Arabidopsis thaliana: one gene and its partner. The protein of the gene in region 2 interacts with the protein of the main gene of each other region in a biochemical or structural test. Each region holds a gene or a part of one and is shown on either strand. Other genes may lie near its edges.

The links. The genes of interacting proteins can lie anywhere in the genome.
Region 1: the proteins of AT1G48560 (region 2) and FVE form a complex in vitro, tested with the Arabidopsis thaliana proteins (one study listed by BioGRID).

Annotation. Positions count from the first base shown.
Region 1 is NC_003071.7:8,453,939-8,460,147, reverse strand, and holds FVE (Transducin family protein / WD-40 repeat family protein), read right to left. Parts: upstream 4,393-6,209; 5' UTR 4,143-4,392; coding exon 3,859-4,142; intron 3,504-3,858; coding exon 3,440-3,503; intron 3,347-3,439; coding exon 3,260-3,346; intron 3,151-3,259; coding exon 3,088-3,150; intron 2,915-3,087; coding exon 2,849-2,914; intron 2,705-2,848; coding exon 2,630-2,704; intron 2,493-2,629; coding exon 2,417-2,492; intron 2,344-2,416; coding exon 2,148-2,343; intron 2,038-2,147; coding exon 1,956-2,037; intron 1,876-1,955; coding exon 1,802-1,875; intron 1,728-1,801; coding exon 1,616-1,727; intron 1,531-1,615; coding exon 1,456-1,530; intron 1,352-1,455; coding exon 1,284-1,351; intron 1,200-1,283; coding exon 1,100-1,199; intron 1,015-1,099; coding exon 913-1,014; 3' UTR 506-912; downstream 1-505. UniProt on the Arabidopsis thaliana protein: Core histone-binding subunit that may target chromatin assembly factors, chromatin remodeling factors and histone deacetylases to their histone substrates in a manner that is regulated by nucleosomal DNA.
Region 2 is NC_003070.9:17,951,094-17,955,823, reverse strand, and holds AT1G48560 (uncharacterized protein), read right to left. Parts: upstream 2,966-4,730; 5' UTR 2,890-2,965; coding exon 2,394-2,889; intron 2,272-2,393; coding exon 2,215-2,271; intron 2,152-2,214; coding exon 716-2,151; 3' UTR 551-715; downstream 1-550. Other genes in the region: AT1G48570 (zinc finger (Ran-binding) family protein), read left to right, coding at 55-153, 252-369; AT1G48550 (Vacuolar protein sorting-associated protein 26), read left to right, coding at 3,179-3,241, 3,322-3,414, 3,495-3,559, 3,651-3,705, 3,791-3,880, 3,969-4,053, 4,134-4,229, 4,313-4,497 and 1 more.

The sequences.
Region 1 (6,209 bases), on a different chromosome or scaffold from region 2:
GAAAATGTAGGTCTAAAAACCCTAATTTTATGAAATACTCCGATTCGTCTACTTGTGATTGATTAGCTTCCCTACCTTATTCCTCAAGCAATACATTGATTCATGTTTCTCTCTTTAGTATCTTTTGGAACAAAAACTTCTTCGTTTGATCTTCTCTGACTGATCTTGACGGTCTCATGTAGGCTTTGTGATTGGATTTTTAAAGTCTCTAGCTCATCAAGAGACTTCATAAAGCCTATTAAGCGGGAGGACCATTAACGTTAAGCCCAATAAAGTAAAACATTATCATATAGTTTAGTTTTATGAAATGACCAGGTGATCTATGTATGATTTGCAATGGTCTGATTGTTTAGTGACTGTTAATACTTAAAATTTCTTCAAAATCCTACGAATAAATCTGTGAATTGAAAATCACCTAATCCTACTGCTAAGCGTGATTAACAGTTTTTTTCTAATGAAAACGACAATGCAAACATTATTTAAGATGCGACGAATCATCAAGAACCCAGTTTCCAAATTTTGCGATGCTTATTACTATATTGTTTTATAATGACCCCTTCTGCTTTGCATTTGAACATCAATGCAACTATTTTTTTTGTAGCCGGGTTGGTCTCGACTAGTTACAGAGAAGGAATCATTAGGTTCAGGCCAAGTATTGAAACCTTAAACCAAAACACATAAAGTTGGTCCGATTTGATTAACATCTCAGTTGAACAAAACAGCACCTAAGAGTCTGATGAAACAGGATCATGAACCAGAACCATGTACCCCTAACTGATATGGAAAGGTCCTAAAAGCTACCACCAATATCTCAAAAGACAAACCAGCCTTACAAAAACCAAGACTCCTCGCTAAAACCCGCATTAGTTTACCATAGGCGATAGATAGATAGACAATGGGTTTTCTTTACTCTTAAGGCTTGGAGGCACAAGTCATAACATGCGACTTGAACTTCTCCAATTCTGCCACGACTTCTTCTTCTGGTCTGTAAATCAAGTCACTCATCCGCCATATCTGCCATAGAAGAAAGTATAAACAACATTTAACGGTATGTCAATAAAATTGCTTATCAAGGTACCAAGAAAGATTTCAAGGTTACCTGCAATGTTCCACCTCCACCAGTAGTCTCACAGTCATCAGAAACACTGACAATAGTCCAAGGGTCTGAAGCATTCCAGTGGAAATCAACAACTTTGTCCCTAATATGGTTTATAAACAAGGGAACTTAGAAGCAAGTAAAATGAGAAAGCAATCAAGAAAAATCAAGATAAGTCTTTAAGAACCTGTGACCAGCATGCTGGAAGAAGAGCCCAGCGGGGCTTTTAGCTGCACGATCAGACTTCTTACTGACCTGATGGTTAATTAAACAAACCAAACATGAGTACAATGAATATGTTTCAGTGATGATAGTGAAGAAAGATTAATTTTAGACATCTGAGTGAACTATGTACACACCCTGTCATAATCCCAGATGTTCAAGAGACCATCTTCTGCAGAGCTCCCAAAGACGGATGACTTATCAGGAGACCACTGAATTGAATAACAAGATAGTGTCAGTGGGTTAAGAGATATACTTCATACAAAGAAGGAAAAAAAAAAAAAAAGTTGATTATACCTGAACACAAAGAACAGCAGCTTTGTGTCCCTCAAATTTGTAAATAGGCGAACCAACTCCATTAGCGGTAAGCTTCCTACGATCAAACAACCGGACAGTGTTGTCTGCTGACCTGAAATATTCATCAATTTCTTAATTAGATACTAAGTATGTATTAATCATCTATTTGTATGTATTTCTCCATACCCTGTCAGGATCAGATTGTCGTCATGAGGATTCCAATCAACACAATGAAGATCAGCATCATGCGCTTTTTCAACCTGGAAAACAAAAAAGTAAGATATAATATCAAAAGGAGGTAAATCTTCAAACTTTTGATAGGATTCAAAAGATAGAGTACCTTCGTGACAGGGTTTGTGCCAGTTCTCGCATCCCATAGTATAAGGCAAGAATCATCACCAACACTGCAGAATTCTTGTGCACTTCACGGTATAAAAGTTCACCAGAAGTATTATTAGAAAATCATGAAAATATCTGCAGTATGCATAAACAAACACGATATCAATAGAAGGAGTCTGTTCTAAGAAGTTACCTCGTCGGGCTGAATGCCACATCTTCAACTGTATCTTCATGGCCATGATATACACCTCGTGGGCCAACAGTAGGACTCTCATTCTTATCAGTACCTTCACCAGTCTGTTTGATGATAGATCCAGATGATTTGGAATCTGTCCCAATCGTTGTGATGTGATCTTGGATACTCCACAAAACAACTGACTTGTCCTTGCCTAAGAGAAGAACTTTTGTATGAGAAACTGGCAAACCACAGGATTGGACTCTACAAATTACAGAAACACAAACCTCCGGAGAGCACAAAGGGTTCCGTTGGGCACATGGCAAGAGCAAATTCAGCATTATCTTGGTGCCCAGTTAGTATCTGCATGAAAAATGGTTCATTCAGATGATGCAAACAAGAAGCACTATTTAAGAAGATATCAAAGAGATTTATCACTTCCAATGATGAGAAACAAACAAGAATAAAGCATAAAACAACATTCTCAGAAGTGGACATACCAAATCTGGACGGGAATTTGCAGCTCCAAGCACAGCATGACGGTTTGGTTGGGTTTCAACATCCCAAATGAGAACCTGAAATCAACATATTGTATTTAGATAACTCTGAAACTGGACATATGTCCGAACAAAGGATGCTCTTTGACTGCCAAATACAGAAATATGAAACCGACATATTTCAAGTTGCTATGACCATAACAAAATAGAAGCAGCACTCACATCAGGACTGTCGGTGTGAGTAGCAACAATCTTACTATTCTGTGGGAGTTCCCTGATTCTGTTAACCTGCAATTGCAAATTAGTAATGAATACACATCAAAATTTACTTTCACCAACGTGCCAAACGAATAACTTCATGGACAGATGAAACAGGGATGCAGATACAATTAACAAACCAAATAGAACTAAAAAGAACAATGTCAATACAGAAATATCTCAAGAGTGGGCAGAATTCACACCTCTCCAGGGTGAATGATGGTCTTGTACTTCTTCACAAATGGAGAACGTGCTTCTTCATTGAACTGAGAACACATTTTCAGAAGATAGTATATAAGTGTCAAACATGAAACCAATTGTAGTGTGGAGTAGGATATGGAAAGGACACAAGCTTAGTATTAAACCACATAATACCTGAGAAATGTGCTCTGCTGCAGCAACCCTTGGCTTAACAACTTCACAATTTGCTATGACCAAAGTATTGGGCACACTTCCATCAGTCTGGTGACACAACCAAGAAAAATACAAATAATACGATGAGAAGTATATAAAGAAGATGAGACAACAAGATACAAGAGAAAGCTAAAAACTTACTTGCTCTGAGAGGTACAGACGCTGGCGATTCTTGTAGGTTGCTTGCTCAAGCTGCGGACCCCATCTATAAAAAAATCAAACAACAATTCACCAAATGGAAACTCTTAGCACAACAACTAAAGACTTCATCAGATATAAACACTCAGAGAAACTGAAAATTCCTCTTAGTCATTAGTAACCAACAAGGTAATCAATAGTAACAATTCATGAATAGAACATCAGATATATCAAGGTATGAAGACAGAGCCACATCCAAAACCCTAACTAGAACAATCGCAACAATCTCACTTAAACCCAGAAATCGAGAAAATGTATGTGTAAGATTTTACTAAATTCATTCCAAACATGAGAATGTTCAAAGCTAAGAAACGATTACGAAACGAAACCCTAGAAGGAGAGGAAAGGAGAAAGGGGGAGACCTGCAAGAGAGTGAAGGCCAGACGAGGTTATGGTTAGCGAGCCAGTCGTAGAGAATGGGGACGAGACCTTTCCACTGAGAGTACTTCTCGTCAACACTCGGCGACTGCTGCGTTTTCTTCCCACTTTCTTTCATTTTAACATCGCTCTGTTGCTGAGACGACGGCGTCTGAGAATCTTCCTTGGTTTTAGGTTTCCGACCTCTCTTCTTCGGCCCAGAAGCTCCGGTTCCTCCGCTCGGTGTCGTTGCTTGAGGAGACACTGCTGCTGCTTCGTCGCTCTCCATTTTCCTCTCTCTCTTTTTAATTTTTCTTTTTTGGTCTTTGCTTTCAGTGTCTCTATATCTCTCTCTCTTCTGCTTTACAAATACAAACAAAACAACCACCGTTTACCATTTTTACTTTGGACATAATACCTGAATCCGAAAAAACCGATCTGAACCCGATCCAAAAATCCCAATCCAAAAATCCCAATCTAAATTCGAACCTGAAATTTTCAAATATCCGACTGAATCTAAACTTCAAAACCTGAAAAACCCGAACCCGAACTGGTACCCAAACATATCTTAAATATAAATATAACTAAAATATTTATATTTATATTTACATATAGACAATATTATGATTTTTCGGATATTTTAGTTACTTTTATGTATTTTTAAATATATTCAAGCAAAACTACTCGGGTTGTTTAGGGAATTTTTGAAATTTTCAAATAATTTAATAGATTCGGACACAAAATTTTGATATTTCAATATATAACTAAACCCGAAACCGAACCAAACCCGACCCGGAATCTTGAATTACTCGAACGGATCTTAAAATTCTAAACCCGAAAAACTCAAACCCAAAATACCCGACCGAATATCCAAACACCCATAATTATTATTTTTTAATTCAGTAAAATAAATACTTTATTGAATAATAATAAAAATTACGGATGAAATAATTAACAGTATAAATTAATTAATATAAGCGTCTCTTACATGGATTACTAACTTTATAATTCATATCCAAACTTGTTGTTCTTTCTTGTAGCTTCTTCTGAAAAAAAAAAAAAGAATAGATCCTCGTTGCATTTTGAAAAGTGATTTAAGAAGATTTCAATGTTTGTTTAATACTTGAACAATAAAGTCCAATATTGTTCAGAAGTATATGACTAAGCTTAGACTTGAACCCTAAGTTTGTTCTTGGTGTCTAAACTTAAAACATTCATTTCATTTGTTCTCTGCTGGCTAAACCTATAAAATTTACCTTTCATTTTATCTTCTTTATTTAAAACATAAAATTGTACTATTTCATATCCCTCTTTGTTCTATGTGAAAAGCTCAATTTTCACTCATGGATTCGACACCAAATAACTTTCTTTGGGACATTGAAAGCCTTAAAATATCTCGAGGTTATGATTTACATGTAGTTGTTCCAAGCTTGAGGCTTTTTCTCAATCCAGCATGGATTAATCTGATGAATATGGTAAATCCGAAAAAAACCTAAACGTCTGTTCGCTCTATTTAATATCTTAATTTTTTTTATTATGATTATAGTTTAGAACTTAAAAGTTATGTATAATCATGTCATTTTAAAATTTCGCTTCAAATCTCTATAATTCTTGGCATTGCACTTCTTATATCACTAGTTTTGACTATTAAGAAACGTTTTGTGCATAAAAATTCAGATTTTTTATGATCAACAAATTAAATAGTGTTAGAAATTTTGTTGTGATTATGAATTTTTTAAAATTCTAACACAATTTATTTGGTAGAGGTGCAAAATAGGTATTAAACAAAAATTTTAGATCTGCACAACATATATGTATACAAATATGTATATGAACTATGCAAATAAAAGAAAAAAAAAACTATTACTAAGATTACTAGGGAAAAATATTGACTCAAATCATCTAATTTATGTTTCTCATCTTACTAATATTAATGTTGATAGTATAGTGGTGTTTCATATATTCTCTAATTGCATATTACATATACATATTTGTATATTTACACCTATTTTCCTATTAACTTAATAAATAAATATTATTTTTTTTGGGACGAAATAAATTGTATTATTATCGTCATAAAACTGATAGGTACAATGAAATTAGTAACGCTAATGAATTTGTCGTCCAAAAATTAAAGATTTGAATTTTTTATACACAAAGTTTTTCGTGGTAGTTAGAGACATGTGATACAAGCATTTAAGATATTATGCATGTAAGGCAAACATGATTTTTAATCAAATGTCAAATATCATGAGTCAAAGATATACTAAACGAAACATAATATCTAGCTTTTTACAAAGCAATTTTCCAAAGGCAACTAAACCCTAATTCTATATTGGAATGTTATTTTACTTAG
Region 2 (4,730 bases):
TTGCTCGATTGCTCTGTCTGTACTGATCAGAATGCTTTGTATGTATATTTTCAGGTGTGGATATATGAACTTTGCTAGCAACAAACAGTGTCGAGAGTGCCGAGAACAACGTCACAAGACGCTAGCTGAGCCTGGAGATTGGGAATGCCCCTCGTGCGTCTCTCTTCCTCTCTGTCTCTTATTTAGTAATTTGTTATCTTCATATCCTAAACCAGACCATTTTGTTCCCGTGGCTCATTTTAATTTTGCAGATGCGACTTCGTGAACTTTAGGAGAAACGATGCTTGCAAGAAATGCGAGTGCAAACGACCTAGCCAAGCCAATAACGATCAAGAAGACCATACATGGAAACGACCCGCCTTAGTGTAAACTTATGCTTTTGTACTTGCAAGATTCACTGCTTGCTATTTCCTTTCAACTTGTTGTTTCTTCTTCTCTTGTTGAGTTCCCAAATTTCTAAACAGATAACAATTTTGAAGCAGAAAATGGAAACCTAGTTTGTAGTCACATTCATGATTCATCGTTAAAGCTATATTTTATGTAGTCAAGTACAAACTATGTCATCTCTAATACAAAACAAGCCATGATTATACAAAAGCTTCAAGGCCAAAAAAAGGTGCAAGTTCTTCGTTAGGAACAGACCGTAGCTACATTACAAAAGCTTCCCGTGAGAGCTACATAAGCTAAAACTATTGAGATGATGATGTCATCGGATTCATGAGTTGGTCTCCATTTGAAATTTCACCTTCATATTCCTTCTTCCCTCTTCTTTATCTACCAAACCATGTTCCTTGAGACATGATTTTGGTGATGGAGCAGACTTTTGCGGCTTCTGAGGCAAAGGAACTTTTTTTACTTCATTGTCTTCCTCAAAGGGTTCGAGGCGGTACGTAACCTTAGACTTTCCTAGTCTAAACTTTTTGCTCCTAGCAAATTGATAAGCCGTCACTGCATCGATGCTCTGCATGAATACTACTTTCGCAGAGCTTTCCCCTGGGTTTACATCAGTTCTTGAAGCATCTATTTTCCCAAACACACTGAATCTCTTCAACAGTTCTGCTTTGGACGGGAGATCCCCATGTCTACACAAAAACTTCATCCGCAAACATTTTGGATTAGCAAGCCGCATATCTTTCATCAGGTGTAGATTCAGCGATTTATCAGTAGAAATAGATTGTTGGCCTGCTTTCTTCTTTCTCTTGGAGTAACGTGCAGATGCTTTGTCTCGACTTGCCTTCCTTTTGACACCAATGGATCTGACATTATCAACTGATCTCGTCTGGTTTTCAACAGTTGTTCCAGCTTCCAAATCTTGTAATTGTTCTGCAGGTGCTCCTGCATCATCAGAACTAAATTCTTTGTTTGAAGTGCCTGTACTAGGTAGCGAAACCTGTCCCACCTCCACAATATGTGACTCCAACGTATATTCAGAGCAGTTTTCTCGTGTTCCATTAAGACTATTCCTACCTAACGACTGCTCATTCAAGGTCTTGGCACTGATGATAGAGCTATCAAGCTTGTTTCTTGGGCTAGCATATTTTTTTCTCACTGAACAAGCTAGAGTGTGACAGGCTCCTGGAACAACAAAAGAAACAGGCTTTGCCAAATAAGCTTTGTCGTTGCTCGAATCAAGCAAGGGTGACAGTTCATTTGTCGATGTCACAGGTCCATCAACCAAACCAATGATGTCATCATGAGTTTCAATCATAACATCAGGAAGTGCTTCTGATACATCAACTCTTGAGGCAGCAACGGAAGTGGTGTCTTCCTCTATCATATCTTCAATAGAAGGTTCTGAATTCAATAAGCAGATATTCTGCTCAACTTGACAGCATTCTTTACTCTTGGACAGGTGACCATCATCCTCATGAACAGCTCTTCTAACCATGGTTTCACAAGCTTTCATGGTACTAGAATTAGAACTGGTTCGAGGGCTCCTCGTATTCCATGTGCAAATCTGAACTACTTTATCAACATGCTGCTCAGAAGAACAACAAGGGAGATCCTTCGGCAATGGATCTCTTAGACTCAAATCTCTACTGTTGTCGATATCCGCATCCGCAGTCTCAGGAAACATAGAACACAGGTCCATCTTCTTTGAGTATTCAAGACACCAACCTGATTCTTCAGATCGATCATTTAGCTCTGCACCTGTACACATATTCATAGAATTATTTGAGAATACAAATCATAGCAATATCTGTCAATCCATACTTCGCCTTGTTCTATTGTAAACAGAGCATATAGATTCACACTCAAATTTTGAAGTTCCTATAAACCTAATAGAGCGAAACAGTAGCAATCATCTCTATGGAGCAGTTCTAAAACACCAAATGGGGTTTCTTTCCTAATCGTACTCAGCAAAACCCAAAAATAAGAATTTTCAAACTTACTTGCTCTAGTCTCCTCATAGACAGATTCGGAGCGCTTAAAATCGACAATGTAACGCCGAAAACTAAGGATCTGAGCACTGGAACTATTGGTCTCAGCTAATCTCCAGAGGGGCATTCGTATCGAAATAGCCATATCTCTAACAAACCCCAGAGCCGAATCCGAAGTGGCATGAAACCGTGGGAGAGAGTTTTCTCTATCCAAGTAAGGCGAATCAATACGCGGCTGGCAAGAACACCATAACCCAAACGAGATGTTCCAAAAGTAAGCTCGCAGAGCTCGATTCACAAAGCGGCGAATCCACCTTGAATCTGAAATCAAGGTTTTGAAATCGCGATCAAAGCTTCGTAGAAATGGTTTTGGAACGTATCGCGGATCCATTAGGCCGAAGAACGAGACGAGAACTCCTAACGATTCGGATGGATCGATAATCCGACCCGGAATCCATGTATTCGAAAAGCTCACGCTTACCCAAACTAGCTCCCCTTTCTTCCACATCTTTGAATATTAGGGTTTAAGCTTTCTCTCTGATATCATCTCTGTGACAAGACAAGAGAGAAGAAAGTGTAGCGTTGCCTGTAACGTCTCCTCTAGAACTTTTTCTACTTTAATTGAATTACACTTCATGCTGTTTTCAACTCTCAGATACTAACTACCTGCCATTTAATCAACGTTTTGTCTTCAGTAAAGACATCCTGCTGTTGTCCTACTTATAGAGAAAACTTCTGCCGTTTCATTTACTCCGCCGTTGCCACAAAATCCGCTGTAGCTAAGCTCGGTGAGTAAAATGGCGACGGCGACGACGGTGAATGTCAAACTTTCTCGATCAAATCGTATCTATCGCTCTTCCGTATGTATCGAATCTCTTAATTATGAATTATGATTACGTTGAAGACGAATTTGAAATCTCTAGTTTTTGAATTTAATCAGGAACCAGTGGAAGGAAAAATTGTGATAAAATCTGCAACTTCGATTTCGCATCAAGCAATACGTTTATCCGTCAATGGATCAGTCAACTTGCAGGTTTCAGATTCTCTCTCTATTGAAGCTTTTCTTCAATTTGGTTCCACCAAGTTAGTTAAATTTCTTCCTCACTCCTACAGGTTCGTGGAGGATCAGCTGGAGTTATTGAGTCCTTCTATGGTGTCATCAAGCCTATTCAAATCGTGTAAGCATTTATTTCTTCTCTGGTTCTTGAATTGATTCCTTGATGTTGAAATTACTCGAGCTTAAGCAAATAATTCGAATTTTGGCCACAGCAAGAAGACGATCGAAGTTAAGTCTTCTGGCAAAATCCCTCCGGGAACTACAGAGGTAAAGAACATAGTCCCATTGAGAAATATCACATATAGCTGCAACATTGAGTAAGCTAAGCTTTTGGATATTTTTTTTGCTGTAGATACCATTCTCTTTGAATCTGAGGGAGCCTGGGGAAGGCATTGTAGAGAAGTTCTATGAGACATTTCATGGAACAAATATCAACATCCAAGTCAGTAGTTTGATCAGCTTTTTTTAATAAGGATTTTAGGATTTTTGTCTGTGAATTGGGAAAACATTGATGCAAAAATCTGTGACAGTATCTACTAACTGCAGATATACCGCGAGGATACTTGCACAAACCTTTGTCTGCAACAATGGAGTTTATTATTGAGAGCGGTAGAGGTACTTTGTCTTGCTTCGTTGGTGTTTATAGAATAAACATGGATTGTTTTGTGATGTTTTTCCTTGGTTTTTGGTTGAAGTTGACCTTCCCGAGCGGCCTATTCCTCCGGAAATTGTCATCTTCTACATCACTCAAGACACACAGAGACATCCGTTGCTGCCTGATATTAAGACAGGTTTGTTCTTCCAACATTTTCACTCCAGTTTCGGAGATATCATCTCTTAATGTGAAAACTAATAGGACAATTGATCTCACAAGGTGGTTTCCGAGTTACTGGAAAATTAGCCACCCAATGCTCTTTGCAGGATCCACTCAGTGGTGAGTTAACAGTGGAAGCATCTTCAGTTCCTATTACTTCTATTGACATTCACCTACTCCGAGTTGAGTCGATAATTGTAGGGGAAAGGATTGTCACTGAGACCTCTTTGATTCAGTCTACACAGGTGTTAAAATGACCATTCTGGTTTGTTAATGTAGTAATTGTAATATCAAAATGCTTTGCTAATTTAGACCATGTTCAGATTGCGGATGGAGATGTGTGCCGTAACATGACTCTACCCATTTACGTTTTACTACCTCGGCTTTTAATGTGTCCTTCCGTTTTCGCAGGGTAAGTTTCTTTGCTTCATTTTCTATAAACCTAGGCAGTTGATTGAAACAAATGACTCTCTAGTTA